2 linked regions of the Oreochromis niloticus genome follow. The protein of the gene in region 1 interacts with the protein of each later gene in a pairwise test. Links are inferred from orthologs where the notes say so. Each region holds a gene or a part of one and is shown in the gene's direction. Other genes may lie near its edges. The genes, in order: erich2 and macroh2a1.

The links.
Region 2: the proteins of erich2 (region 1) and macroh2a1 interact in binary tests that used the Homo sapiens proteins (3 or more experiments, as listed by UniProt). The two-hybrid records come from large-scale screens. The link is inferred for Oreochromis niloticus from reciprocal best matches to the Homo sapiens genes ERICH2 and MACROH2A1.

What each region holds. Positions count from the first base shown.
Region 1 is NC_031982.2:8,031,803-8,048,078, forward strand, and holds erich2 (glutamate-rich protein 2), read left to right. Parts: upstream 1-8,793; 5' UTR 8,794-8,988; exon of another isoform or gene 8,989-9,073; intron 9,074-9,849; 5' UTR 9,850-9,895; coding exon 9,896-9,926; intron 9,927-10,002; coding exon 10,003-10,133; intron 10,134-10,263; coding exon 10,264-10,321; intron 10,322-10,424; coding exon 10,425-10,496; intron 10,497-10,577; coding exon 10,578-10,702; 3' UTR 10,703-11,434; downstream 11,435-16,276. Other genes in the region: glutamate decarboxylase 1, read left to right, coding at 14,142-14,217, 16,140-16,196.
Region 2 is NC_031975.2:23,505,567-23,521,702, reverse strand, and holds the start of macroh2a1 (core histone macro-H2A.1), read left to right. Parts: upstream 1-8,248; 5' UTR 8,249-8,357; intron 8,358-16,136. Other genes in the region: faxdc2 (fatty acid hydroxylase domain-containing protein 2), read right to left, coding at 155-260, 684-889, 3,405-3,526, 4,258-4,361, 4,868-4,965, 6,604-6,647, 7,975-8,013, 8,122-8,146. UniProt on the Homo sapiens protein: Variant histone H2A which replaces conventional H2A in a subset of nucleosomes where it represses transcription. Nucleosomes wrap and compact DNA into chromatin, limiting DNA accessibility to the cellular machineries which require DNA as a template.

The sequences.
Region 1 (16,276 bases):
ATGATTTTTACAGGTGTTTGTATAAAGCCTTGAAGAGAGTGCTGTAGAGGGACAGGTTAACTACAGATAGAAAGGCTGTCCAGTTGGCATGATATTATTATTTATCTATTTTTAATCAAAGGCAATAAAGGTTTAGTCTGTGTTACTGGGAGGCTACACGGTCAAGCAATGGAGGATGCTTCATAAACCGGGCATTTACGTAACGTTAGACCTGGTTTATGAAGCATCCACACTCTCAGATGGGGTGAATATGTGTGACTTTATGGTCAATAGCTTTTTAATATGATCATTATTAAAGCTGCTATAGCATTTACATCAGAGATTTGCCCAGATCTATCTGTGTCTTCACACTTTGCATAGTCATCTTAACACAAATAAATTCATCAGTTTCGTGTTTTAAAAAAAAAAGTTTTTATTTCTATTTAATGAGTGTTACGGGTCCGAAATTGAGGATGAGAGTAAAACAATGATGGTCCAGAAGAGGTCAATCAAACAATTGATTTTAATGAATGCACGCAGCGTGGAGAGGTGCAAACTGCAAAACAGTTGTACATCTCTACCCAAAATACACTCTAGATTGCTTTTATAACATCAGGGTATTGTAACGCCCCTTCTTGCGTTTACAAGCACATAATTTGCATGTACAGAACATTCATGTATTTTAAGAATTAACTGCAACATAGAGGTTCCTCCTTGTGGCATACTCTTCCGAATATAGTGATGACCTAAGGCCTTTGAGGTCACCATGGACTGGACATCCTTCCGTCACCTGTAACTAAGCAAACTCAAATACCACAAGAAGCTGAATACATTCAGGCCTTTGCTCAGCTACTATTTTACTGTAACAATATACTCAGCATATGAGTTATGATATATATATATTTAACTCAATCCTTTTAAAGTAGTTATACTGCACCTGTAATAAACATGTTAATATTTGATTATGATAACCCCTATAATATAAATTATAACATAATGCCAGCAACTTCAATAAACACTTTAATGAAATGATAATTAATGCAATGATAAGATGATGGTTATGTAAAATAATCCCTGTAATTCCACATGAGTTAATTCTTTTATCGAATGAGCCCATACTGAAGGCTCAGTGCTGCACAAGCGGATGGACAAGAGGTTGAAAATGAAGCAAGAAAACGACTGCATAGGCAAAAGTGGGAGGCAGATGGATGGAACGGAAGGAAGAGGAGGGGGGAGTAAAAAAAAACAACCCTTGAAACGGGGATGAGTGAGTGAGAGACAAAGATGGAAAAGGGAAAGAAAATGAAGAAATACAGAGTTGATGAGAGAGGAAATGATGAATGGGCTAAAAGAGAGACAGATGGGCCCGGTCCATCAGTGAGATGTGGGGCAGAAAAATGGAAAGAGTAAGTAAAAGATCCGCTTAGGAAGTCAGAGATGATGATTACGATGATGATATACAGACACAGTGAGGCACCCGGAGGCTGTAGCCATCCTTTTAAAGAGATTTCACATTAAATGTAAAACACGTGTAATAATAATAATAATATTAGCTGTAACACCCACCTCCCCTTGGCACATCTTACCATGGCACAAACAAGAGAGCGATTTAACAGCGCAATAAAGTGATGTGTCACTTATGACTGTTCGCAAATGCCACATAAAGTGAAGGAGGTTAAAGAAGAGAATGCTATGAAGACACTTTCCTGGAAATTGGAGGAAGGAAATGAACCTGAAAATAAATAAAAATGAGATACTCCTTTTTCAAAACTGTCACAAATCTTAGATAATGTACTTCTAGTTTCGATCCCTTATGTACGCTTCTAATGCAGTTTTAGTTATCAAATGGTATCTAATTGCTTAATTTAGACCTATTATGTTTTTCCTTATTTTCTGCCCTTTAATGATGTTGTAGGACGTTCTAGGAAACACATATTGAACAGAATTAGCTGATCAACATGTTTTATGTTGTTTTTGTCCTTGTTTGCTCTTTTGCCTTTATTTCAGTGAGAAGATTGTTACTATGTTATTTTCCAGGCACGATGACTCCAAAGACACATGTTAGGTTAATTGGTTATTCTAAAATAGCTGTAGGTGTGAATATGAGTGGGAATGCTTGTGTTAGTCCTGCGACCTGCGTTTCGCCCTGTGACAGGCTGGATGGACTCCAGCACACTCGTAATTGGATAAGCAGGAAAAAAAACGAGGTATATGGAAGTTTGTTGTCACTCTTATGTGTTCTCAGTAAACTCAAAACCTAATCTGTCAGGAATTACCATAGCTCTGTGTAAAGTCTTCAAACAGGTGTGAACATCTCAGTTTCCATCTAAAATCATCTTTATGTTTTCGATGGGTGACCCTAGAAAGAAAGAAAGAAAAAAAGAAGTCAGAGCAATCAGGCACAACTTCATGACCACCTGCCTTTTATTGTGTTGGTCCCCCTTCTGCTGCCAAAACAGCCCTTAACTATTGAGGCATGGACTCCACCAGAACCTTGAAACTGTGCTATCGTATCTGGCACCAAGATGTTAGCAACAGATGCTTTAAGTCCTGTAAGTTGTGAGGTGGAGCCTCCATGGATCAGAGGCCAAGTCAACACCTCAAACTCCTTGTTGTGCTCCGTAAACTATTCCTGAACCATTTTTGCCGTTAGCCACAGCCATCAGGGGATACTGTTTCCATGAAAGGGTGCACCAACAATGCTTAGGTAGGTGGCACATGTCAAAGAAACATCCACATGGAAGGCAGGACCCAAAATTTCCCAGCAGAACATTGCCCAAAGCATCATACTGTGTCTGCTGGCTTGCCTTCTTCCCATAGTGCATCCTGGTGCCAGGTGTTCTCCAGGTAAGGGACACACACACCTTGCACATGATGTACAAGCAAAATTAAATCAGTATGCAGTGATACAGTAGCTCGTCTGTTAGATTGGACAACACAGGCCAGCATTCGGTCCCCACATGCATCAATGAGCCTTGGCCAACAATGACCCTGGTTCACCACTGTTCCTTCCTCTGACTTGCTTTTCATAGATACTGACCGCTGCAGACAGATCCTTAGGCTTCTGACACATCAGCTTTTAAAAGACAAAATATTCACTTCTTAATATATCCCACCCACTAACAGCTGCCACGATGAGGAGATAATGAGTGTCATTCACTTAACTTGTCAGTGGTCATAATGTTATTCCTGATCATTGCATCTATTGTAACCGAGAAAGGCACATGCAGTAACAAACTATTTTTAGCTTCATGTGCTAAACAGGACTTGCGTGTGATCTAGATCTTTCTTTCTTTATGTTGATTTGTGATTATATCACACTTTAATTAGCCTGACTTGGCACTCTCACTGGAAAAGTGGATGTTTTTTTTTCCCAGCAAATAAATCAATACTTGTATCACCTCACTTGTCCTGTTATGTAGTCTGTTTGTGATGTCACAACTGGTATTTGGTGGCTCCCCCTCTGTCCCTCCGACACACACACATCCTCAGACGCACAGCGCCATAATGGAGCAATTATCCTCTCCAGCTCCGAGCTGCTCCTGTGATTGTAATTTGCATTTATTATTAGCCTTCAGTCTGCTCGAGGCCGTGAGACGTGATGGTGGATCGTCACACGCCACATCACACTGACAGACCTGCACAGATGCTTCATAAACACGAGGACACGGTAACATGAGCATGAGTGTGGCACATATACATACAAACCCACACCGCAGAGAGACTGTTTATGACGGCATGATGTTGCTTTGTTTTGTTAATGCTAATCTCTGTTAATAAAGCTACAGCAGGGACTGCGTGTTCCATCACACAAATACATGCTCCACATTACACATTGTGATGTCCTGGAGGAATATGACACGTTCTCGAGCTGTGTATTCTTTCACTGTCACGACAACCTCATCATATGGAAATTTGGGAGGAGCAGAGAGTCTGTCAAGGCGCATGCACCGAGTACAACCAGGCTGCACCCTACTGAAGGCCCTCGCCTGCGCTCTCTTTCACACACACACACTCATACTCATGCACGCAATGGGAATGTGCAGGTGATCAGTGAAGTGTGAAATGATTCTGTTATCATGTCGTCTGTGTGGAATATATTTTCCCATCAAGCTTCCATGGCAGGTGTGCCTGATGGGCTTGTGGTGCTGGTGTGTTTTGGGGTGTGCATTTAGTTTCTGTCTCCATCTGTTATTGGGCAAGAAGAGTTGAAGCGGTGCACGTTCAAACGAGCATTAGTAGCTCGAGTTCAGCCTTTGTCATTTGACACCGAGAAACTCCCACTCCAAAATACTCCAAATATTTCTTCTGAGCTCAATGTATCTGGGGTCTTTGGATTCTGTTGGATCTTTATTTTACTTTGGAATAACAGAGGCTCTCCCATATTAAATGGGAAAATCATCAGGCTTAAAATATATAGCATTTTGCGCACATTTCAGCCCAAATTGAGTATGCTTCTATCTGCTAATGACAAATAACAGGAAAATCCCAAAGCCTTGACCCTTGTCGAGGGGTGCAGTAAGCATTTCTGTACTGTTCGGGGTCGACAGTATGTGTAGGGCATGATTTTGTTTTTACCACAGTCTGTGTAAACCCTCAACCACTGGCTCAGCATTAGCATTTTTTTTTTTTTTTTTGAAGCCAGAAGTTAGCTTGTACGGATGAAAGGGTGACGTGCTAATTTATCAGCTAGCTAGCTTTGTTAGCAAGCCATGTTCATAAACAGTAAAAGTACAATGCACAGGCACGCATTTAAGGCAATTAGTGCTAAGTAACCGAGTGATAAATAAACACCAGAATGTCACTCACTAAAACAGAAGCACAAGTCTCTTGGATGGGCTGTGGCCCACAGCAAGCTGTAATATTGGTCACACAATCCATTAAAACAACTCCAGCAGAGCTGGAAAACACAACAAACTCCTACAAATACTGTGAAGAGGTCCAGTTTAATGACTACTAAAAGTAGTGGATGAGGCTTAGCAGACTCCTATTATGATGTCTCTCAATCACCATGGCCACAAAACAAATTTTCAATATGGATGAGTTATAAAAAAAATCTTTTTCCCAACTCAGAGCTGAGGTGTGGGGAAGGGGGAATGCACAGAGCCCAAAACTGTACAGACACACATTTAAAGTAACACTGCTAAGTAAACGGGAGTTCTTGGGGCCTGTAGTCTTTGAACACACTCCCGTGATCTTTATGTCTACGGGCGATTTTGGACTTACCCATAACTCAGGATTTATGATACTATTGCAGAATCCTCAGATGTAACCTGGTGTACACCTCCCTCGAAATGTCATGTCAGTGCAGCCTGCAACTATTGTGTTTGGCCTGTTCAGTACTCTTAGTCCTCCTGTGCATTTCCAGCTGCTATTTGCTGCAGTTTTTGAATCATCAGTGAGAGAATAACAGTCATCAAGAATAATAATCATAGCACCTAAAAAAGGACTCACAAATCTTAGGAAATTCCTCCAGGGAAGTTTATGAAACTATCAGAATGTGCAAAGAAGTGGAAAAACTGGAATGACAAACCTGTTTGTCTTTGAAAAAACAAACAAACTGAAAACAACAAGTGTGGGAACCCAGGAGGGGAAAAAATCCTGTCATCACATGTAAAACATTGGGACACACATCATGCACAAGCACAAAAAAGCCCGCAATGATGTCGACGACTTACAAAAGTTAGGTTGTAGGCTCTACAGAGGTTCCCCGCATTTATCTGCTTTGTTTCTTCCACTGTTGAATTCAGTTCAGTGCAGTTCAATTCAATTCAGTTATAGTGCCAAGTCACCTTTTATATTGTAAGGTACAAACCTTACAGGTTGTGCAATTGTTGGGAATTTTAACAATTGCCCTTTGAGTAAGGACTTTGCAACAGTGGGAAGGTAAACACCTTTTAAGAGGAAGTCATGTGCGGAAGAACCAGACTCAGGTAGCCATCGGCTACAACCGGTTGAGGGTGAGGGGAGGGAGACAGGGCAAAAGACACATGTGGGAGAGAGTCAGAGTTTAAAGTCAAAATTACAAATGATTAACTGAAAATTGGTTTATAAACATAAGTGAGTGAAAAAGAGGTGAGTGAAGAAAAAACACTCGGTGCATCATAGGAAGCTCCCAGCACTCTGAGTCGATTACAGCATAACTGAAGGAGGATTCACCTGATCCACTATAACTATAAGAGTTATCAAGGAAAAAACGCTTTAAGCCTAATCCTTAAAAGTAGAGAGGGTGTCTGCATCCCGACTCCAAACCGGGAGCTGGTTCCACAAAGAGGAGCCTGAAATCTGAAGGCTTTGCCTCCCATTCGTCTGAGAGCCAAGTGTTTCATGTGGGTGATTACATGCTGTGAGGTCTTTAAGATAAGATGGGGTCTGATTATTCAGGACCTTGTATGTGAGGAGAAGGAGTTTAAATTTGATTTTGGATTTAACCCTTCAAACCCTTGAATGTATGCAATGAAGAAAAGCCAACATGGCAGAAAAATGCTTTCTCTTCATGGTCCTTGTCAGTGCTCTCACTGCAGCATTTTGGATCAGCTGAAGTCTTTTCAGAGAGTTTCTATATAATTATAAAATAATTATATAATTATGTAATCATATTTAATAGCCCAGCCAAAAGATAATAAATGTATAAACTCGTTTTTCAGCCTCACTCTGAGACTGGAGGTTTGTCATTTCAGAGATATTGTGCAAATGCAAGAAAGATTCCAACATATTTGTTTAAAGTCATATCCTGGTTAAAAAGGCTCCACAATTCCTCGCAGTGTTACTGGAGGCCACAGTCATGCCATCCAGAGTAAGTCTCGGGTTACAGACAATAGATTTGAATTTTGAAGCAGAAAATTAGAGGTCATCCAAGTCTTTGTGTCTTTAAGACATTCCTGCATTTAACTAACTGTGTGTTATCTGGCTGCATGGATAGATAAAGTCAGGTATCTTCTGCATAGCAGTGAAAATTTATACTGTGCTTTCTAATGATACTGCCTAAGGGAAGTATACTATAATACCATAAGAACAGGAATCCTGCCTGCAAGATTCCTGGATTCCTACTCTCCACTTTAATAAAAGCCCACAAAGTCTACACTGAAAGCACACATGCACACGCTTCAATGGCATGTCAGCGTGCACGAGACGGCCCCAAGGGAGTGCTCAGTGTAAGAAACTTCATGACCCTGCCTAATTGATATATAGTTTTATGTGTGTGTATGACACCAAGTGAGTGTGTGTAGGAGATGAAGAGCAAAATATGCATTTAACACTCCAAGCTAACCTTACCTTTCTCGAAACAGCACTTCAGACTCTAGGAGAAAATGAACAGTCCTGCCAATCATGTGCTAATTTAGGCTCTGTGGGATGTCTGAGTCTGGAGCCTGTCAGTCTGACAGTCCATATCTCGCTGCGATTTTAAGACAACCGTGAAACAATGCAGCCAAGAGCAAAGGAGACCTCAATCTATTAAACACACACACACACACACAATACCTTGTTGCGTCTTCACATTCTCTCACACACTCACCGACACACACATTCATGACAGAGGGCAGCTCTTTCGATGTATGCGCAGCTAATGTGGCGGTTACAGCTACTTATTGAATGAAATATGGCTGAGATGGAGGGTGGACAGAGGCAGTCTCTCAAGGGCTGTGAGAGAACCCTTCAAACCCTTGAATATATGAGCTCAGAAACTGTAAACATGCAAATGCATTCTTAGTCTCTGCTTTATTTTGTACGTTTGCAAAATTGTAGAAAGTTGAGGGTATAATAGCCGGATATCTTTATAGGAATATAGCATGCAAGCATTTGATGAACCATTATAAAAAATTAAACTGAATTAATGACTCCATACACTGAAATTAAGCAAATTCTCTGATTTGCAAAAAAACTATCATAATAGTCACAAGTTGGCTTGGTCTCCATACTCTGGGCTCACTTAAAAATAATGGGATGCACCAGATTGTCCACTGTGGACGTGTGCTGAGTTTTGGGGTAGACACATAAGGGTATGTAATCACCTTTTCAGAGTATCAAGTGTTTCATTTTTTTTATCCTGTTGAATTTGTAGAACTTCATTTACTGTGTAAATCTTTTGATTAATGTAAGGGAAAAGACAGAAGGGTAACAACAACGGGTAACAACTAAAAAACAAGGCTCTCAGGAACGTAACTCTGTGTGTGTGCAGTCTGTGGGCTAAGAATGTTTACATGAAATGATTTGTTAGTGTTACAAACCCATATTTTAAAATTATATTCACTGAGGAAAAAGAAACACTAAGGAATTTTGCAATGTTATTATTATTATTATTTAACTTATTTATTTTCATTTTGATACTGCATCTCCCCCAAAAGCAGTCTCACAAGACAGCAGTCACCATGAAACACCTATAGGCACTCATTTCTTCTTTTCTTTTTTTTAACTTTATATCTAAATTAACTTTAATTCCAAACGTTCCCAGGACCATTGCTTCCATAAGATAAGATAAGATAAGATAAGATAAGATAAGATAAGATAAGCCTTTATTAGTCCCACACGTTGGAAATTTTTTGGTCAGAAAGTGGGAGTACAAAGTTAAGAGCAGCAAAAATTAAGAAAAACAATAGAATAGAATGAGATAAAACAGATTAACATACTATACAAAATAGAATAAATAATACGCATCAGCAGCTAAATGTTAAAGAAATAATAATAAATCTTTGCTTGAGTGCTATTCATTCATTCATTCATTCATTTCATAGATTTCAAATCATTGCTTGGCATGTCTCTGATGTAATGGCCAAATTTCCGGCAACATTGAAGGCCACGACTGTGCGTTTCTCCGTTGCTTAGTAACGGCTGCTTACCTCCTTCTCCGACAGCTAAAGGAAAGTTACAACCTTCAAGTTTCACTGCAAGAAACTGTCAGAAATTCCCAGAATAGGACCTCAGACTTAAAGCCCTTTGAACTTTGAACGATCAGATAAACAACTTGTGCAACAGCAGGTGTCCGTGACGGTCTGGTTCTACTAGCTACAGGTATGCTGTTTCTGTGAACTGCAGACCTGTTGTTCACAGGCTGCTCACTCTATGCAGTTGTTGGGCAGGACACTCGTTGCTCTAAGTGAGTCACACATTTTTCAACTTTGTCTTTTCACTGCCCTACACATCCTATTAAGAAGCTGTATAATAATAATAATTAGTATTTTTATTGTGTCTTCACCTGGATGTTGCTTTCTGCTAAAGCAACTTGCAAACCGGATGGTGAAAAGATTTTAATGACAACATTAGCTTCATGTGTTCTTCTGCTTGTCATCAGTATCTCATTTTCTAATTTTGTGAGATGACAAAAACGGTAGTTCCTGACTAATCACATTAAAACGCTCATCTGGTAGTTATTATAAGGAGACCGTAAACAGCAAGACTCTCAAAGGCTGCTATATATGTCTTGTTTTGGGCAACAAAAACAAACATTATTATTCATTTATGTACAGTTGTACACGATAAGAGGTGTTTCTGCTCTCAGTCAGAGAACACATAAAATAAGTGATTAGACTGCAACTATGGGATATGGTGAAGGGAATTTACACCCAGTGAAGATGACGGGAAATTAATTCTTTCATTGCTGTTGCAGTGTATACAGTACCTGAACGAGTACCAACACAGACCCATGGAAAATGAGCATCTATATGTAAATGTTGCCCTTTATTCTGGACAGCATTTGGTCTTTACTTAGACTTGTTCTCTGCATTCATATTGTTTTATAATGTTGAGCTGCTCTTTGAGTTTGTGTGTGGCCCACCCCTAGAGCCACACAATATCGAAATTCTTCCAGCCAGTGATCAGACCAATGAGATATGCCTCTGATACAGTTCTGACACAGATCACCTGTGATTTCAGGATTGGCTGGGCACCTGTGGAGCAGCTGGAAAAGAAAGGCACGGAGATGTTAAAGTCCTCAGGCACAAAAGGAACAGGTGGGTACAGGATAAAATGCAAAGCACAAAGGCAAAAGAAATAACATTACAAAGTGATTATGGTGATGATTGTCAGGGGGACCGACAGATGCTCACACACCAGCTGAACCTCTCCTCATGTATAAAGCTAAAGAGGACAAAGCACAGACTGAGGAAGAGAATGCGAAGTGTGAAGACCTTAAGGCTCCAGTGGGGCTTTTAATGAAGGTACAGTAATGCAACTGGTCCAGCTTATCCACACTTCATGCTCTGTCCACAGAGTGCTTTTTTCTTTGCATGTTTCAAATGTCTGAAATGTTTTTTGCTTCAACTTTAAAGTGAAAATGTTAACTTTCAGTTCCTCAGAGCTCTGAAGGACAAATACTTCAAGCTGGCTGTTAAACTCTGTCACATGAGTACGTATCCTGCACCTGTTTGCTATACGTCTGTCTGTCGGTCAATGAATAAGTGAGCGAGCCGCCAAGTTAGTCAATGCTACCTCTTCTCTCCTCGCTCCAGTTCTCATCTACGAGCCAGACAATCCTGAGGCCTCAGAGTTCCTCCCATTGATCCAGAAGAAGCTGCTGGAAGGTGACAGTTGTCTTTGTACAAACACTTTAGGCTGCATGTTACAGACTAAACATCGAAGGTGTTGTTTGATTTTTCCATCAGAGCAAGACGCAGAGAGAAGCAACGAGGAAGAAAGTGATGAGGAGGAGGATGACATTGATTCCGGAAGTGATGAGGACTCCTCTCATAGCTCATCTTGCTCCTCTTCTTCAGCCTCAGATGATTGATTGATTGATTGATTGATTGATTGACTGATAGTACTGATGATGATCATGATGATGATTATGAAAAGGAAAACTATTTTAGCAGACACAAGCCATGCCCTCCTGCTCATATTTACCCTTAAAGCTGTTCGACCTGTCTAGCAGGGACTATGTTACATATATTGTGTTTATTTTAAGGCACACTGCCGCTGCCCACAGTCGCAGTCTTTTCAGTGTAGACACAGTGACAGTTACATATTCTCTCATATTTTCACCTGGAAATAAAGTAGCTCCTGTGGACTGAGCGGATGCCCTCATTTCCTGAAAACGTGAACTGATAAATCGCTGATAGATCACCCGTGAAAATATACGGGCAAACCACACACGCTTCCTGATAAATCCGATAAACCTCCGGTTGCAGGTTAACCTGCAGAAGAGACTGTAAATGAATCTACTTGATCAGTGTCATATCCATTTTGAGAATGATTATGTGATTAAATGCAAAATACCTTAACCCATTCGAACTGATGGTAAAAATGCATCGGAAAATACAACCCTGCAGTTTTATGACCAGACATGCCAAAACTGAACACTAGGAACACACAGCACATACAGTTAGCTGCTAACTGCTCAACACAAAGAAGCAGCTGAAGAGTTTCGGCCTATAGATGTGATGATATGTAAATGCTGCATTCATGTTCCTCATTCTTGTTAATATAACAGATATTTAACAGTCAAAAATCTTCTAAGCGGTTATGTTTGATCATCACTTAAAGTCTCATCAGCAGTCTCCAACTATTGGTCTCCTAGCAGCAATCTGGCCACTCTGCATCCAGCTTGTAACCCCTTTGATGCTGACTCTAGCAGTTATGTTGAAACATTACCTAAACTGATTTTTAAATTGTCACCGTCATACAAAAACATGTTTATATATCATCATTCAGATTGCATGAAATTCAACAAAAAAAAAAAACAGCACTTTTTTCCCTGGAAGTTTACACGTCTACCACCATGTTTGCTGAATCCTCTCATGGCTTTGATTTCAGGATTCTTTAAACATCAGCTCTCTCTGTGTGAAGATGATAAGCGGTGCTGCATGACAGGGAAAAGATGTGGTATATAAGGAGTATGTAAATGTCACAGATTTGTGCATGAAACAAGAGAGACCAAAGCCATCATTTCTTACTTGTTTTATTTTTCACTTTTCACTGTGGATGAGAGCTGTAATGTGACCCAAACAAAAAAACTGATTCTGCAGTCCATCTGGTCCACTATCCAGTCTTTTGTTATGGTGGCAATTAAATTAGCACAAATAAAATGTTAGCCTATGTAAACTCATAAGCAGTGAAGACCTTTTATGTGCCCTGTTTTAGTGCAGATGTAAATCCCAGCAGCTAAGCCTCCTTGTTGAAGGCCATCAGTCTGAGTTTATCTTTATGCATCTCCACATGTCACTTGTGAGTGGAGAAAGATATGATTGGCTCCTGATAAAGGCTGAATAAATTGCAGCGGCTGAATGAACATAACGGCTGGTCCCTGCCCATGCACTGGATCCAGAGGCAGGCGTGAGGATGACAGAAAGGACACTAAGCCAGCGCCCGCCGTGCTTCGAAGTCTCGGCGTTATTGTCCGTGGCGAGGTTAAAGCAGTGAGTAGGTCAGAAATTATGATGTAGGCAATGTTTTCATCTCATGAAGGTGAATATTACAGACAGTGCTTGCATGGATGGATGGCTCCTGGATGGCTTGTCCTGCTCACTTTATAATAAATGTGTCTATTCTGGAATAAATGGCCTAACAGCTTCCACAGGTCCCCAAAACCCAATCAATCAACAGATATGAGGAGATGGGCCGGATGTTCTGAATATGTATCTGTTGGTATTTAAAAGCCCAGCTGTGCAGTTTCCTTCCAAGGTCAATTTCTATGTAACCAAATTTACATTCAAGTCTCCACCCTCATCCCTGTGACACCCACCCACACCTGGAGACACAAGAGCTCGCCCACACACACATACACGCACACAGGGGCGGGTAAACGTCATCGGTATTTTTCCTTTTGCTTGTTTGGTTCCTTAAAGTGGATTGTAGCTGTCAGTAGCACTCAAGGAAGCTTCATTAGCCGTCAGGGTGGGAGGCAAGGCTGTGACTCATGCCTGCGTGAAGAGACCAATGGGCAGCCGGATCCTCAGATATAAATAACGAATAAAAATATTCTTGAGTGAGAAAGGGTCACTTGCGCGCCGCCGGATGGGATTTTATCAGTGCGCTCTGTTGATATTCCGCCATCGCCACCACTGGACTGTTTCTTGTCGCGCCTTCGGGTGGCAGTTGTAACATTTAAGTTGTACTTTGTCTGGACTCGACAACCTGTGCGCCCCGTGAGCCGGTAAGATCCCTTCTTCTTTCCTTCTCCAGCTGCACCCTTCGTGTCTGTTTCTTCAGAGACAGAGGTTGGGGGGAAGATGCTTAAACCACTCCACTTTTCAGCCGCTGATATCGTGAGATCAGCTTTGGAGGACAAAATGTGAGAGCAAAAACTAAACAATAATAATAACAATAATGATAGAATTCTCACATAAATCATTCCCAGACGGGAGACAGAACGAATTTATTAGTTGTTCAGCCTCTCTCTCTTTCTCTCGCTCTCTCGCTGCCTCTCTGTCTCGTGATGACATTGTAGTAAGGGTGGTGTTCAAAGCATATCTTAATTGAAATGTCGATTACTGAGTCAACACATGAATGGGGAACGGTTATTTATGTGGACACTGTCACCTCATTTTATCAATATTTGCTGTCTGTGAAGTATCATTTTTAATGCATTCGTTTTATTCTGATTTTCTGATCATCTCGGTGATTTTATACGATGTGAAACGCGGGCCTTACGTGTTCTTTCTTTAATATTTTGGTTTTGATCGTTTAAAATGTCAGCTGTTATATAAAAAAACAGATTTTTCTTTTTAAATTAAACGATGATTTGGTTTTAATGATCCATAGGAACTTAGTGCAAGAACGAGCCATGTTTCTTTTGCTAGTTCCCAACTTAAAAAAAAAAACAAAACAAAAAAAAAAACAAATCTGTAAATCTGTGGCCCATTTTCTGTAAACCTGTGTCATGCAGCAGCGCTGGGGTAGTTAACAGCTGACTGGATGCAACACAATCCGAAGAGTGTCTCTAAATAAAACCGATACCCATGCAGCCATTTTATCCCCCAAAGTATTGCGATGTGCGTCTTGGTAGCGCGTTGTGCGCAACTCACTCCAAATTGCGCGGCTTCAGCCGTTTAAAGGGAGAATGAAGCGCTCCCGGTGACGGACGGAGCATCGTTTTCTGATCAAAATCTCGGCCTGCCATTTAAACGGCACGCAATTATCGTAAATCTGACACACAGCCTCTCCTAACACTGAGTCGTTTTGTTTGCAGCTGAATAATTCCCGCACCTGGAAACCAAAGTAACAGAGGACTGATGGCTACGTCTGAGCCGAGAGCTGCCGGCGGGGACCAAGACCCCAACTCAGCTAATTTAAGACCTCCGACCACAAGTAGGTCCCCAAACTCCTCTCCCTGTTAACAACACTTTGGCTTCGGCCCCCCGAGGCTAAATTGTGTTTAAGGTTGTCAGTCTCCAGAGCGCTCGGGCTGTGGTGAAAGCCACTCGGTGCCTTGCTCAAAGACACTTCTGCAGCTCGATCTATCGCCAGCACAGCGGTTTAAACCCAGGTTCACCCTCCACGCGCCTCTGTCTGCTTCTCTCTCTCCCTCTCTGTCTCTCTCCCCTCCTTCCCTGTCTGATAAAGGAGAGTGTAGCCCGGGCCATTTGCTGTGCGGGCTCCGTCGTTAATCATTCCGGTTAAAAACAGAGCCATCACAGCTGCCTGTCGCTGTCTGGCGGATCAGCGGTGCGCGCAGAGCGGCGGACCTGGCAGAAATAATGCGCCATTAGAGCGCTGGCAATTCTAACGATCCCAGAGCGTTTTTCCTGAACGTGTTCTATTTCAAAATATGAGTTTCAACCGAAAAATAAAAACACAAAGATTTGAATATTTGATCCTGTGCGCCTTTCGTCTTGATATACAGCAAAAAAAAAAAAAAAAAATTGATATAAGAATTGTCTGTAGTAATTTGTTTAGGCATGCTTTTTTATTCGCATCCCTTTTTAAAAAAAGAAAAAGAAAAATCTAAACCTGTGCATTAACCTGTGGGTTAATTAATCACGTCGAGCTTTTGTCGCATACACAAAATTGACTCCATTAGAGCACACTTGAGCAGCCATCTGCAGTCCAAAGCAGGGAAATAATTGCAGTTTTGTTTTGTTTTGTTTCAGAAAAACGTTACAGGGATAGCCTGCAGCTCCTTTTGTCCAGTGTGCAAATACATGCTTTATTTTCCCTTCCTCGTTACCGGATACAAAATTTCGAAATCTTTTATCTGTGGCCCTTGAGTGCCAATAAACATATAAAGAAAAATTTCTTTAATGAAAATTCGAACCAAGAAAAAGTCCTTTTAAAAAAGGATGTTTGTTTTGTCTGCTTGCTCGTGTACTGCTGCTGCTGCTGCTGCTGCTGGATGTTGCCATTATCTCTCTGCCACGCTCCATCTCACGCCTGGCGGCTTTGCGTGCGCGAGGGTCTGTGTGTGTTACCGTGTATGTGTGTGTTTATGCCTCGGCCTCCGCACCAAGGGCTGTTCTTTGTCGGGATGAAATTGCTTCAGTAAATTTAAATACTTGTTGTTGTTTTTTGTTTTGTTTTGTTTTTGCAAGTTCTCCATCAGGTACATTCGCCTCGTCGCTTCTCACTTTTTGCGCCGTGCGCTCTGCATCTTGTTCCCTCAGGCTTTCTGCTCCATCTCAGCTCACGCGTGTCCACGCTCTGGTTTGTGTGTGCGTGTGTGTGGCACTAAGTGTATATGCATGCATGTGTGTGTGTGTGTGTGTGTGTGTGTGTGTGTGTGTGTACATCGACGCACTACGCTCCAAGTTTGTGCTTCAAGCGCCTGCTGTAGACTTCCAGACCAGAGACATTACCAGCTCGCTCCACTCACATACTGTGATCCACTCAATTAATTTCTGCCCTCCTCCGTGAGCTCATTTCACGGGTGTTAATTCCAGTCCGCCCTTTGGCTGGGTGTGTGAGCCGGCGTGGATTTGCCGTGCGGGTCACTGTCGGTCCCTATTGATTGAACTCAAATCGGAAGTGTTAGCAGACTCATCCCCCCTTGTGATCAAAGGGAGTGTAAGGAGGCTAAATCCGTGTTCAACAAAGCCAAACAGTCAGTGTAATTCTTTACAGAAAATATGAATATACCCAAACACCCCACAGTCGCACACCTGGCCAAGAGTCGCTCCTTCACGCTTTCATTTATTTATTTTTTGTTCCATGTGCTCGCTGTGCTCCATCATCCGCCTCACCACATTTGCTCGCGGTCTCCACGCTCAGAAACTCAAACGTTCATTTTGTTTTAGCCAACGAATACGCGTGGATGCACGGATGCACAAGGAAACTGGGGATGAAGATTTGCGGTAAGTTTTGTTTCGCCACGAAAAAATGGTTTAATCTTGTAGATGTTATTTAAGAAAATGAAATAAAGAAATAAAAAAAA
Region 2 (16,136 bases), on another chromosome or scaffold:
TTCTTTTTGTTGAACACGTATATTCCCTGTTCTCTCACAGCAGAGAATTTTAGACTGTAATTTCTGTCTATTCTCACATTGTCTGCAGCCTGATGCTCAAGTCTAGAGCGCGTGTCAGAGAAAAATGACAAGTAGGAGAAAGAGGAAGGCTCACCACGTGCTCCAGAGGATGAGCGTAGATGGAGACGACACCGATGGGAGCGGTCCACTCGTGGTGCTGTTTGTGGTAATGCTTGTAGAGGCTGGGTTGGTGGAACAGCCTGAGGAAATTAAAAGAAACAAATTGAACACATCAAACGACCGCACCCTATCCTGCGTCAAGGTTTGTGCTATGCGCTGGCAAAGGCTCTGAGCTTACATAAGAAAAATCTGATTAACGCTGATAGACATTGTTGCAGGTTGCATTGCTTTATGTAGGGTTAGTCTACAAGCAATGTTTATACAGATCGCACCTAATGTCCATGTCCTGTTATGGTGAATTAAAACATATATAGCTATAAAAGAGAGTGACTGCATGCTGCATGCACGTGAAAGAAACGCAGAGATCAGCGTACTGTTAACATCACAATCACCGCCATCTCTGAAATGAGGAAGAAATGTCATCTACTGCCAACGATCCACTGATTGCATGTTTCATTTTGATGTGTCATGGGTGTTTAAAGTAAAAAATAAATGTTCTTTACCTGTGTGAATAGTAGAAGAGAATCTCCTCCAAGATGGAGAAGGCGGCCAGCTCCATCAGGGCCCAGTGAAAGGTGGGCAGCTCGGGGCCACAGGGGTTTCCTCTCCAGCTCATCAGGTAGTAAACGACCACCGTCATGGCCCCGGAGATTACCACGTGGTTGAAGAGGACACACTTCAAGGCTTGGCGCAGCTTAGCTGGATCCACCTGGAGGACAAATGGAGAGGTCAAAAGAGGCGTCAAAACTAGACACGATCTCAAAACGATTCAAACTACCAAGCTTCCGATATATATTCTTATTTCATGTCTTATCCTTTTCCATACTGTTGTTTCTGTTTATGCTGCAGGTACACCCGTCCAACCACATTAATGCAGTTATCTAATCAGCCAATCACATGAAAGCGCCTCAGTGCATTTAGACATTTATCCATGGTTAAGATGATCTGCAGAAGTTCAGTCTCAGAAAGAGGAAGAAAGGCGACTGAAGTGACTTTGGCAGCTTTTGAAACACTTTATGCCATATTCAATCTACTGGAATTTTCCCACATGACCATCTCTAGGGTTTCCAGAGAATGTGTGAAAAAGAGAAAATATCCATTGAGCAGCACTGCCTGGTATGAATTTCTACAGAAATGTGCAGATGGAAGGGTCAGAATTCAGTGTAAACAGCATGAAAGCATGGATTCATCCCGCCTTGTATCAACGGTTCAGGCTGGTGGTGTTGGTGTAAAGCCCTAGGCGACATTTTCTCAGCATGTTTAGAGTGCCTCGGTACCAATTCAGCAAGATAAGTATTGTTGCCAACTATGCCCATCCCTTTATGGCCACCCTGTACCAGTCTTCCAGTGGCTGCGTCCAGCAGGATAACGCACACATCACAAATGGCCTCCACACCAGATCTTAATAATAATCTTAAAAATCCTATAAAACAGCTTTGGATATGTGATTGAACATGAGATTTTCATCATGGATGTGCATGAGTGATGCAATCATGTCAACATGGACCAAAATATCTGTGGACTGCTTCTAGCACGTTGTTGAATTGTTGTCATGAAGAATTAAGGCCTTTCTGTTGGGGTCCAACCCAGTACTAGCAAGATGTACCTAATAAAGTGGTCATTGAGTGGATATCCGTATCAGCTAATTAACCCTTTTACCTCCAACCTTTGGAACCCAGTTATAAACTCATGCCATGTCATAATGAACTTTCCAGAGTGTGAGAACAGTGCGTCTCTGAAGTTTACACTGAACTTTTGTACATCTGTGTGTTTTCCATAACACACACACGCAGGCACACACGCAGGCACACACACACACACGCAGGCGCACTCTCCGAACAGCAGACTTAGTTTCTGTGCAGACTCTTTATCGAATGCTCTTTGTTTTCTCTCTCAATGTTCATTTAGTTGATATCTTCTTCCCTTTACTTGAACCAGCTGCAGCAGATAGCTCCACGACTGTGGCTTTCTTCCTGTTAGAAAGGCCTTTTTTTCTCCCCACTGTTGCCAAGGGAAACATTGGTTCCCTATAATCTATACAGTGTTTACATTATAGTATAAAGTGCCTTAAGAAAACTATTATGGTGAATTAGCTCTGTTTATCTACAGTAGATGACATTGATTTTTATCTCTATGTTACATCTGAAGATGGCACATCCAGTGTAAATAGCTCCACAAAATGCTAATTTTAACATAAATAAATGTTTCTACACTTAGAAATGGTGTGACTATACATTCAAATTTACAGCTCTTCTCAGTCACCAGTGACATGCACTTGTTATTTAGCCGTTTCTAAAGCAAATGTGTGATCACTACATGGGCTCTGACACATTGATCAGATAATTTAGATAAACAGTTATATTGCTTGATAAAGTAATATAATTTTATCATTCTTAACGAGACAGTTATATTGCTTTTTAAAGTACACAAGCACTTTTAACTAATATATAATCTTGTTCCATTATAGCACATCCTGGTTTGTTTATGATCAGTAGATCCCAAGTTCAGACAGCTATTCTCGATCATTGACCCGCAGTATTTCTGCTCGGAGTCACAGAGAAACACTGTGACAGCAGCTTTTCGCAGATTACCTCATCATTAAAGATATAAAATTTAAGGACCGCGGAAATTTATCTTAAGCTGTAACAGCGGCAAATTCCACTGAGTACATGCAAATCAGAGGAGGAGTGATTTCTGAAGCGATAACACACTCGCTGATGGGAAAATTAGAGAAAATAGGGCAAAAACAACAGACTGGAAGTCTTTTGGCTTGGGTAAAGTGAGTTTCCAGTTTGTGCACTGGAAAAACAATCACTAACAAGGACACTTTTCACAGTAACCCCTGGTTATCAGTAATGCCCCTCTTTATCTCCGCGGTGTCCGACAACATCTGTTAATCAAACACAGTTAGAGGACTTTGGTCAGACGGGCATGTGGAGAGCACTGAGGGCCCCCTCGTTTGCAGATGTTATCAACCACATCTGCACACACACGCATTGTGTGGATCTTTAAGTAGAGCAGCGGCCTACAGCAGCATGCCCAATAGCAGGACAGAAAATTAAAATGTACTTGTTTTTTTTAAATCTCACATTCACTTAAAAAAAGATATGATGTGATCATAAAATACAAAAAATGAAGCTTGTACATTTTATGTCGACGGCATAAAAAAACAAAACAAGTGTCAGTGCAGATAAAACAAAATCTAAAACAAATCTGGAGCTTACTGGGTTGTTCTTGTCCAACTGGATACGGTAGCGGGTGATGAAGGAGGGTGTACCAGTGATGTCCACCCACAGCAGGAGAGCATTTGACCCCCAGAAGGCCAGAGTGGGAGCAAGCATGGTCCCTATGGAGATAAATAAGATAACTATTAGAGAACCTTTAACTCAACCGGGGCCTTCATTATGCGTTCATTTACGCACAACTCCAAACACATAAGGAGAAGATTTCAAGTTAAATCCACGGCAAAATTTTCCACAATGACATCATCACTGTGCACCTTGCTGTTTTTGTTTGTTTGCATGAAAATATCACCGAAGGTGTTGCTCCAGCATGCTGAGGAGTGATTAACTTTTGGAGTCGATCCGCCTCTGGATCTGGAAATTTTTGGAATGATTCGTTGAGATTATGAGCAAAATTGGACATTTTGTCTCAGATACTCACATATTCTCCAGGGAATCAATTCATGCATGGTGTGTGTTGAGTTTTTAGCTTTGATAGTATTTAGTGAGTGGCTGGTCTTTTTTCATTATTATTATAGTGTGATGTTATGTGGTCTGAAAACACTGAACTGAAAATACAAACCCTACCTAGCACGCATCCTATGTCCTACATACTCTAGATAACATCTGAATGAGGGAAACCACCTATTGTGCAAAACCATAAGTCCAAAATGTAGAAAAAAAAATCTATACATCGATGAAACCACCTAAATAATATGATACAAAAGGAGGTCATTTAAGTTATTTGCATGTTTAACGCAGTCTGCAGTACTTGGGATGACCATAAACAATGTTATGAAACACCTTTAACCATCCACAGTCATTTGCAATGTTGCACTTGGGTTTTATTTCTTACCCAGGAAGAACAAAGAAGCATCATGGCCCTCGTATGCCACGTACAACTTGGTCCACAAGTTCTGCCAAAAATCTCCTGAAGCTCCCCAGAATCTCTGAAGGTGCCTGAAGAAGGAATTACAGCTCAGTTTTAAATTCACAAAACTGATTACATGTTAAACAAACCTCTGTGGAAACTATTCGTTACACAGTTGTCTACACATCTTGTACTTGCATGCTCTCTCCTTTCCGGCAGCCCATATGAAACCCTCCAAACAAAAATCTAACTACCAAGAGTGTGTCAAACATGAGACCCTGCAGCTACAACTAGCCCAGCAAAGACTCCAATCTGAAATACTTGTACATATTACATAATTTCAGGTGATGTCATTTTTAATTTCATGTAATGCTGTGCTCTGTTTACACCCTTTACCAGCCTGACATGTACGGTCCTGTCCTCGTCTATCCAGTCCTGGCTCTGCATCACTCCTCCTATCCAGTTCTCATCTGTTGGGTCCGACTCCTTGTTCTGTAGCGCTTGCCTCTTTCTACTCTGCATAACGTAACAACCTGGCAATGCCACTCCTCCAGTTTATGTCAGGGCAAACTGTTGTTTTGCTGATGTGACATACCATGTCAGTGAGTTCCCGAACGCAGCCAAGAATAAGATCCCAGATCCGATGACAAACCCGGCTTTCTTCACAGAGTCCCACAGTCCTCCGGGGCCCTCCTGGGAGACAGAAAAAGAAACAGCGTTGTGTGAAGCCCTCTGTTGCTTCGGCGATGAGAATGCAATCTCATGATGTTTCGCTATATTAGCATTTCCCCACAGAAACCTCTCATGGTACAGAAATGTCTCAAAAACAACAGCGAGACTGTTACTGAAACCTCTATCTGCCCAGGAGGATGAGAACACTGTGGATCTGAGTGGTTCCTGTTGAGTGTGGGGTTTTCAGGAACTGCCTGAAGTTAATAACCCAGAATGCAAAGCAGCAGGAGGGGAAACAGTAAGACTGAAAACTCTCTCTGTGTATTTTAAAATACTGTGTGGCATTATTCATTTATTACTTAGGTAATTACAGCCCACATTTATAGTGCATTTTCAATCATCATATAGAGCATCTCAGTTAAAAGGATAACAGTATTTGACACCTGTTTAGAAAGGTCTAAATGTAGCCGTTTACACAGAAAATGTGCACGCTGACTCCAACAAAATGCATCTGCATTGAGAAACGCAGATCAGTTCACTCAGCAGGAAATAAGCCCAAGGATTGATGTCACATTCACTAGACTCTCTAAAATGCCAGCTTTTCACCTCAGCTGCCCCCATCCAAGCCACGACAACAGAGAGAACAATGTCACACAAATGCCGTGCTGGTCTCACGCCTCAGCTGGTCGTTTTTAGAGATGCAATCATGATCATGAAGATGCAAATACACCGATGCTTCCTTGTGCATTTATTGGGACATTTTTGCTTACTACATTTATTACCCATATATTTTTTCTGAAAATTGAGTTACTAAGCTATCATTTCCCTGTGAGCTACACTCTCATTTTGCTTTTCTGCTCCACGTGACAACAAAACCCGTCTCTACTGCTTCACTGATTAAAACACTCCTTTTCTCACGATCATACACACAATCCATTATTTGCTTTTGTCTATTTACTGCCTCTATAGTTTTTTTTTTAAAAAAAGGAAAAAAAAGGAACTTGTCTATCAGGTCAAGCCTGTTGTCAACAACATACAGCAAAGAGGGCAAGTCTCAGTGGAGTCACGGTTTAAAAACAGCAGTCAGATGGAAAGATTCCTAATTAGACACATCAGACCGCAGCTATAAAAATGAAAATTCAACCTTTAAAGACGTGATTTAGAAAAATATGCAGGAACAAGTAGTGCATGCAGAAAACTAACAGAATAAGCTAAAATTTGACTTGCATTTAGCCCACAGGACAGTTGAGAGATTCACAGATTTGATTTTTTTTAAAAGGATTTGCCAAACATCAGCTTCTGTGTGTGCTTCGGCCCCCCGGGCTGCATAAAAAAAAAGGAAATGTAGAGATATGTAGGGCAACATGAGACAGGTTTCATTTGAAGCTTTGCACGCATCAAAGTATCTGCAGTTGTTTGGCAAGATTACATAACATACACATAACAACCTCCTCCCCAAAAACAGATGAGCAGTAATCCAGCAATTCACATCAGACAGCTAAGAGGAAAAAACCTCATGTAATGTATAACAGATCGAGGGCTGTGCTTGCGTTGTCGATGACTCGCTGTATTGTGTTGCCGTCTTGTCCGTTTGTGAATCTTTTCAGTTGAATGATGATAACAGCAAGGTGTTTGGCTGCAAGGACGACCTGTTCTTACCTGTCGGCCGCTGCTTCCTCTGCTTCCCCCAGCTTCCCTCGCACCTGCAAACACAAAATTACATACAAGAATTAAAACATGTAGATGCTACAGCAAATATCTAATTCGGTTTCAATTCAGTTTTATTTACATAGTGCCAAATCACAACAACAGATACCTCAAGGCGCTTATTGTAAGGCACTATCATCTATCAGGAATTGCCAGTAAAGCGCATTTTAAAATAAAAAAAATCAAACTATGATTCTGAAAGCAAAAAATCATAAGGAGGTGTACCATCTCAAAATAACTAATTACAGAGCAATAAAGTTTATTGGAAAATTAAAGTGGGCTAACTCCAGCTGTCCTTCAAAATAGGAGTCTTTGATAACAGGAGATTTATTTTTTTTTATTATATTTTTGTAATTACATTTAAGACATTAAGTTTCTCTTTGAAATGTTGTCATTTCTCAAAAAACTTTTACATTTTTGTCTCAAACTTCTTTGTATATTTCCATTGCAGAGTAATCATCTGAGTGCATGTGCAAATTTGTACCACAGGAGGATTAAATACAATCCTATTATTAGAGTGTGGACGTTTTTAGTGAAATTCTTGGGGATCAGGCTGCCCTACATACACTCGGCCCCTCTCTTTTTGCAGTAAAGGTGTAAAAGAAAAAGCACAAACATCCATCCAACTAATAATTATTTTCACAACAATCATTCACATACTTTTTTTTTAAATCACAGTTTTTGTCCAGCAGTGCAAAACAACCTATTAATTTTCACAAGGTCGTACAAAAAACAGAAAATGTTAGAGGTTTGAGAACCTTTCTAAAAAAAATAATTAAACAATAATCAGTTTATGAGAACGATTGAAAACACGTGGAAGAACTGAGTAACAACCCAATCGGGAACAGGAATGTTAGAGCTGGTCCGTAACATTACTGGGAAAATCAAGCTGCAAATTTAACAAGTACTTATCTTATATTCTTTAATTTATAGTCTGGATGTTGATGTTGACTTAGTAACTTGAATTCTGCTCGGCACTCTGTTTATCTGTGCCCAGCTGTCTTTTTATGTCATAAATCAAGCTAGAGACGTCAAATGGCTATTAAGGTTTGGCTTAATGGCTATTGTAATAATTGGAGAATGACTTAAATATATCTGTTTTTATTAGCGGTTGCTGGTGAGCCTGAATATCTATAATTTACGTGCAAATTATGTTGACCTATATTATTATTATAACGCCATTATCTAACCAAAACTAACAGGCATGTAATCCTAATAAGAAATATTAAAATAAATCGTTAATTTAGCTGAACTGGTGCTCAACTGTGCACCTTACAGGAGTGTTATACAGAGTTTATATATTGCGAGCTGAACTGCGTGTACCTGAACGCACCAGGTGCCTTTGTTTTTGCATCACTGGGCCTACAGGTGAGGAAAAAGACAGCTGTGCTCAGTTTTACTAATAGCGTTTTCACGCTGATCAAACCCGATCTGACGCTATGTTTGCGTTTCAAATCTGCGCTGACTTACCGCTGGCTGCTGTCTCCACCGACATGTCTGCCCGCTGCTCACAGTCCCGCACCGGCCGCTGCTGTTCAGCAGCTCTGGAAAGAAGCAGTTTATTTACAACAGCCAGCGACTTCTCACTGGCTGACTCCCGGTCAGCTGACCCAAGCCCGGAAAACGAGACTCCTTCCTGCTCGGTGTGTTTTTTTCCTGCGGTCCACGTGAGATCCAGGTGAAGGTTGAAACCACAGCGGAGGCCGGTCAGTGCTGTGATCCAATGCATTAGATAGCTGTCTCATTAAGTGAATAACGCTGTCAGATTTGCTTGGATATTTTATTTTCGTACTTTGTTCTACACCATAAAATTTTAGTCTTTAGGAAATCGTTTTTCATTTAGATTCGCTGAGAAATATAGAAACCAACGACCAGATTAATCATTAATGATCATAACTGTTCGCTGCAGGATCCTTTCTCTTTGTTGAAGCTTCTCAGTGCAGTCGTGTCTACTTGCAGAGTGAAGTTTCAAAGCAGAAACCAATTGTAGCAGGGAAAGCAGGAAAACATGAATCATTTATATTTATATCCTTATATTTTGCTTCTAATGAGCCAGATTGTCTTGTCATTTCTTAACGTGGTCTTTAGCAATAGTTCTCTGGGATTTCTTTCAGCGTTTGTCTCTGGATTCTGGCTCATTTTCACTCCTGTTCTGTCCAGTTCTTGTACCTGACTAATTTCAGAGAACTGGTTTTTGCTTGATAAACACTTAACACTGACCTACAAATGATTCAAACATAGCAAAGGCAGCTAACTCAAGGGATGAATCAATGTTGTGTCTACACATATCAGACAACTTAGCAAAGAACCGATTTTAAATGGTATCTTTGTGCACTTTATTATTAGCAGCTTGTCATAAAACACATTATTTATTCTAATTTCCTCAGTTAAATCTGCAAAAATGCCAAAGAACACAGTTTAACAGCCCTAAAATATATTTCTACAAGTGGTTATTCCCAAACAATTATTAGCTGAAACGCTACAATAATATACGCACACAATGCATATTTCAGCATGGTGTGCGATGTGTCCTCAAAACAAGGAAACTGAAAGAATAGAGGACAAAAAAAGAAATGGCAAGCCTCCAAAAACTATTTACAGCAAATGAACAATATCTGAAAGTCATGTCCTTAAGAAACAGGAAAAGCTCAAAGCCCACAGGACCTGAGAGATGCATCTGGAACTTCATTTGATCTATCTTCTGGTCACTGAAGCCCAGATTTTAAACCAACATGCAACACCATCTGGAAAGCATCTGACTGGCAACAGCTTCAATTTTCACCATAGCCTGCAGTGCACACGTCCAGTAGAGTAAAAGCATACCTGGATAGAAAAACACACACTGGGACACTAACAGTCATGGATTGGCCTCCCCAGAGCCCAGACCTGAACGTTAACCTGAACAGTGAGATCATCTTAACAGAGAACAGAACAAACAGCAGTCAAGATCCAGAAAAGAGCTTTTAATGAATAGGCTGGCAATTAGCTTTCAACAAAAAATAAAATAACTAAAAGTGTAGATTCAAGAGCACATATTCTTCTTCCACTTGTCTTCTTAGTTCGAGCTCTATAGACGACCATGACCCAGATGACTGAGAAACTACAGGGGCATGGGAGCACATGATTAAAAAAAAGCATAAAAAACCAAACATTTCACTAATGCAAGAAAATTCCAACCATTTAAAACCAGTGCAGCCACGTTCACTCTCACACAGCTCAGTGAACGCAGACCTGGAACTCTTTCAGCTGTGCTTTCAAACTGAATTAAAATCTTGAACTCTTTATTCATTCAGAGCCATGCCCTCTCCTAACCGCGCCAGCACGCAGTTCCAGTTGACATTCTCGTGGAGATGCTTAAATTTCCAAAGAAACAAGACTTTAGGAAAATGTGTCTGAAGATCTGTACGTCAAAAGCCTATTTGAATGAATGGTGCATAAATATTACATATATGCATATGTGATACTGCTGTGTTTTACTGTAGAAAGCATCTCCTAATAGGCTAGTGGTATATCTGAAAATGCTGTATTACACTGTGGGTCTGTATGCTGTACACATTGTGCTCCTAGCATTCCCTGCAGTAAAAACCACCTCAGGGAAATTAGCTCTCGCTTATTTTTACAACTTACAGATAAAAACAAGAGTTAACAGTGAATACTTTTATTTTAACTGTGAATGTGGAGCTCAGAGTACTGACCCCAAATAAACTACAGTGATCATGGCAAAGGAGGAACATGGCAGTGCATGGTGAAAGTGCATAGTTGTAATTTAAAAAAGTGGGTGTGCTGTTAAAATGTATCCATATACGAAGTATATGGAGGGATGGTTCTGCAAAACACTATAAAGAAAAAGAAAAAAAGTTTTGGGGGGGTTCATGTAAGTTGCTGATCCTAATGGGCTTCACCATTGGTTGTGTGAAATGGTCAGAGGGGCAGACATTAGTCTGTGGTGGCTGTGGTCGTACCTTTGCTCCACCCCTCGCCTGAACAACAATAAAGCTATAATGCACAGATAACAAGTAAGGCTTTGTACAGACAGTACCTGTAACTATCACTTTTGTTTCTTCTATTTATAGTAAAATATCCTAAAGGCAAAGTATATTGTTATCTAATCATTGTTATCTAAAGTCCAACCTTCAGTTTGGAAGTACAGTTCTGGGCAACAGTCTTTAGCCACCTTTCATTCCTTTATAGTTTGAGTCCAAGGAGCCAAACTTACTTGTAGTTTGTAAAAAAGTTGTGGAGCAATAGTTTGGTTTTCTGGTGTTTTGAAGGTCTTTCAAAGGTTTCTGTGGACATTGGCTGCTTTTTCAATCCAATCCTTATAACAGAGTGTTTTTTAAGACTTATTGCTGAAAAAAAACAAATTAGTCAAGAACCCATCTTAACCCTTTCATGCATGAATTATGACAACCTCATTCAGGATTTTTTTCTTCAGTATTTTTATTCATCTTTAGGCATGAAAAATAAGATTTTTGAACTTGTATGTGCATTTTGAACTTCATTTGTTTTTAAACATGGCAGGGTATGGAGTGACACATCAGCGTCCAATGTAGTGGTTTATGTGCAAGTATACCATCAACACTGTCACAAATACAAGACAACAGCCTTTGAATAGCTGTCCAGTGTAGTGACCAATCTGCGTGAAAGGGTTAAATTTCATCTTTAGACATTTTGTTACTATATAATTTGGTCTTACTTTCTTTAGTTGAATCTATGGAAAATGCCAACAGTAACACAGTTTGACAGGAATAAAATAGAGTTTTTGTACCAATAGGGTGATTTCCAAACAACTATTAGCTGAAACTGTGGAGGCCTAAAAAACTATCTGCAGTAAATAAACAGTATCTGAAAGTCACATTCTTAGAAAATGGGGGAAAAAAATCCTTCAAAGGTCTTAAATATGATCTGAGAGATGCAGCTGACCCTTCAGTTGATCCATCTAAATCTACAATGAAGCCTCAGTAGACCAGAAGTGGTCTAAGTGGGAGGGTGGCTGTCAAGAAGCCATTTTTAAGAAAAGGAAACAGTGAGAAAAGGCTGAGGTATGCCAAATTACACAAGAGCCAGACTGAAAATCAGTGGCAGCAGGTCTGATGGTGTGATGAATCAAAATGTAACATTTTTGGATCAACACATCAACATGTACGGAGGAGGTTGGGAAAAAGGTACAACAGTAAGCTTCTCCAATCTGGCCCACTGGACGGCTTTGGAAAATGTGATGGACGGCATAAACTTTAGACCTTTAACTGTATTTTCATAAGTTTTACAGCTTTTGCTACTGATAAAGATCTCCCACGTGATCATTCACACAACACCAAAGTAATTATGAAATAGATAAACAATTACTTATAAATTTCAGGTTTTTACAATGATTTCAAAGTAAAATAAATAAATAAATAATTGAGCATTTTCTGTGAATGAACAAAAATGCTCTGTTTAATTACTGGGTAGGCTGGCGATGAACTACCAGAGCTTTTTCTGCAGTTTAAAACATTTATTCCTCACAATTTAAGTCCAAAGAGCCATGTTGGTAGATTTCTTTCATAACACTGCCAGTGCAGAAAAACCAAAAACACACAACAGAACGCTGTCAGTCATGGATTGGCCTCCCCAGAGCCCGGACCTCAACATTATTGAAGCAGTTGATAGAGAACAGAACACGAGGCAGCCAATATCTAAAGAAGAGCTTTGGATGTCCTTTAAGATGCCGGGAGAACTGTTTCTAAATACTACATAAAGAAATGACAAGAAAGCTGCCTAAGAAACATCAGATGATGACGAACAATAAAGGTGGTCATACTAAATATTCACTTTCAAGCTCGTTACAAAGCTCTCTGTATGTGCATTTCCATGTATGTGTGCACTCATTTCAATAAATCTCTAAATCTTTTAAAATTTTCTAGCTAAATATGAACAAATGAGGGGTGGTCAAACTCTTTCACAGTGCTGTACTTCCATGTACAACACTGCAGCTTTACAGAGATGATATGAATGCCTACAGGATGCACGTGCATGCACTTTTCCCTATTTTCCGTGCTGTAACTTCTCGTGCAGTTATCACTTAATACTCCCTTACCAAGAAGACTTTCAGATTTGTCAGCAACATGTGGCTTCGTTTATTATCACCAATCATTGTGAAACAGGCGATCGGCACACTGTAAAAAATATGATTTAAACACTTTTGCGGATAATATGAAAATGTGGAAAGAGAGGTGATGCACTTCTTACATCTCAGAGGAGCTTCTCTCATCTCTAGTCTGTAGATTTATTGCTGTTTATTCTTTTATTGGCTATGATTCTAAATTGTTTAATTAATGCATTTATGACACATTTTATGATATCCTGTACTGATGAAATTGGCAACTGCATTATTTCCTTTGGACGACGCCGTTCCTGTATTACATGACAGATTGTGCTATATCAGCAGTGTAGTCTGCTGACATATTTTCTTTTACTATTTTACTGTTGATATCAGTTAGCCATAACTGAATGAAAGTCTTGGCAGATTTTATTTTTTAATTAATTTATTATTTCTTTGTATTATCAGCCTACACTTTCAGATCCAGACTCAGACCCTCCAGGAGGGGGCGACAAATTTCAACTCACTCTACTCCCACCATCATGGTGTGACCAAATTTTATTCAAGCCATAGGATCTGATTTTGTGTGCGAGTTTTACTCTGTATGATTTAATAAAAATAAATTTACAGTGCAGTTTTTTAAATTATAATATTAGTTATTATATTATGTTTTCTGTTATTTCAGTCTTTCTTTTGGTTGGGAATCACAGGAACGAGGAGACATGATCCTCAGTACTTTTCTATTATATTACACACATAAATAACTTAATTGGTTTATCAGAAAACTGAAGTATATATCACAAGTTTAGGTAAAATAGTTTCACTGTAAATGCTGCATAGCAGACTTATACATTTGATGGATCGATTGATTTGTTGTAAAAGTCATCTTAAGTCTGATTTAGGTTTTTATGCACTAAATGAGATCTAGTTAGTCCGATTTCATCCGGTCCCTGCAGCGTATTTTCACACTGATACTAACTTTAGTTCTCTGTATGCCAGATGCAAACAGAGGCGAGCTTACTACACAGCTCAGGTCTGACCTCTGGTGAGAAACTGTGCGCACTGCATCAGTATGGTGCACACATCTATCAGATGTGAGTCCTGCACAGCCTTGACTGTCTTTGAATGTCCTTCAGCTTTTTTTTTTGGTTTGTTTGTTTTCGTGTTAAATCTCCTTTTTTCAGGTTTGATTTGCACATATACAGTTTTTAACAGTCATGAAGTATTAGATGAATTCTGGTACCTACCGAACTACTTACCTAAACAGCTGATAAACCTTTGGATGAAGGGTGGCCAGCGACATTATCTGTTTGTTTTTACAGTTGTTTCTATGCTTTTCCTGCAGCTTAAATATTTTATTCAGATCACGTGGGTGGTGGTGGGGTTCCACCGTTTGAGTATTAATGCTTTAATAAATGCCATATTTTATTTAGGACTTCTGCCTACATATTAGCTGCATAACTTTCTCAGCACCAGGAGATGCACCAAAGATTTAGCTCATACATGTTGAAGACACGTGTTTTATCTTTGGTCTAGGAGTGTAAAAACTAATCTGAAAAACAAAATTTGTCACACAGCATGCTTCGGTTACCCTTACAATAGACGGTGGTGGTAATTCAGGCATCGGTGTAACTTTGTGCTGAACATTGGGGGGGTCAAGATCTCTGTCTAAATAAATAAATAAATCTGGGTAAATTCCAGATGATTAAACATGCAACTATTTTCCTGGTAATAACTGAAATGAGTAAAGAAACAAAGAATCAACAGCCTATTAATGCAAGATAATTCATAATTTTAATGGGGGTTATATTGGTTGGGTCTGATTATTGGGGGGTCATAACCCCCCTGGAAATTACGCCCCTTAATTCAGGTGATGAGCTGCCTGATTAAGTGGAAAGAAGAAGAAAACTTTTATTTTTGAAACACATTTTTGGCCTTTTTAGTCTTTAATCTTTTGGTCACCTGCTCAACGCAGTGAGTTAAACCAGCACCCAAGAAGAAGACCTTTCTGATGCACTCAGTGACCTTAAGCATCTTGCAGAGAGAACAGCAGGGCCAGGTTCAGGTCTCACGTGTAAAAGCTAAACTATTAAAGATACTATTCTATCACAGTGACAGAAATCTGACAACAGTGAGATAAATGATGAAGCCCATAAGTCTATTAACTGAGCCTCCTCCTTCTGTTGCTGCTTAAATTTCTGACAAAGCGGACCAGTGAGCTAATCTTTTCTCTCTGTACGGACAGAAGCTCAGACTATCCTGTGAGCAAACATTCTGCGGCACTGTGCTGAGCACTGCACCACATCATGGGCTTTGCGCACCCGTCTGGTTAGAGCAGCAGTGATGCTAAAATCCAGTGGATATCTGCAAGTAATATTTAGATACACATTAGGATTATGCAGTTAAAAGTCCATGTACATCAACTGAAATATGTAGCAAATCACCGCTATATTTTTTCTACACTTACTACTCCATCTACTACTACTACTACTACTACTACATCTACTACTCCACTTACTACTCTACAATTACTACAGGCCTCTGGACTGTGCTGAAATTGTAAGCTGTATAAGCCTCAGTTGTGTTTTCATATCATGAAATGAACAAAAAAAAGTTTAACAAAAGTTTGCATTAACTGTTTTGCAATCACAGCCCTTTTCATTCATACTGGCACAGATATGCAAAAGCAAAGGTGATATGCAGAGCTGCAGGAATGGCATGGTATGATGACTCATAACATGAAGATATGGGAAAGAGCTAATGATCAGTAAGCAGCAGTATGGCTTCACGCAGAGAAAGAGCACTACAGATGTGATGTTTGCTTTGAGAGTGTTGGTGGAGAAGTATAAAGATGGAGCTGCACTGTGTCTGTGGATAAAGAAAGCACATAGTGGGGTGCCAAGAGAGAAAATGTGATACTGTATGAGGACGCCAGCAATGCCAGAGAAGTGTGTGAGGATGGTGGAGGATATATATGAGGATGGCTAGACATTGTGCAATTGGAGTAACAGATGGGTTCAGGGTGGAGGTAGGATTACATCAGGGATCGGCTTTAAGCTCCTTCTTGTTTGCAGTGGTGACAGACAGGTGAAGAGGAGAGTGCAGGCAGGGTGGAGTGGGTGGAGACGAGTGTCAGAGGTGATTTGTGACAGAAGGATGGCAGCAAGAGGGAAAGAGAAAGTAGTGAGACCTGTTATGATTCATGGTTTGGAGACAGTGTCACTGACAAAAACACAGGAGGCTGAGCTGGAGATGGCAGAGTTAAGGTTTTCATTGGGAGTCAAAGTTGAGCAGTTTGGAGACAAAGTTAGAGAGGCAGGGCTGAGGTGGTTTGGACATGTGCAGAGGAGGGATAGTAGATACACTGGACAAAGGATGGAAAAGAGGAAGACCACAGAGAAGATTC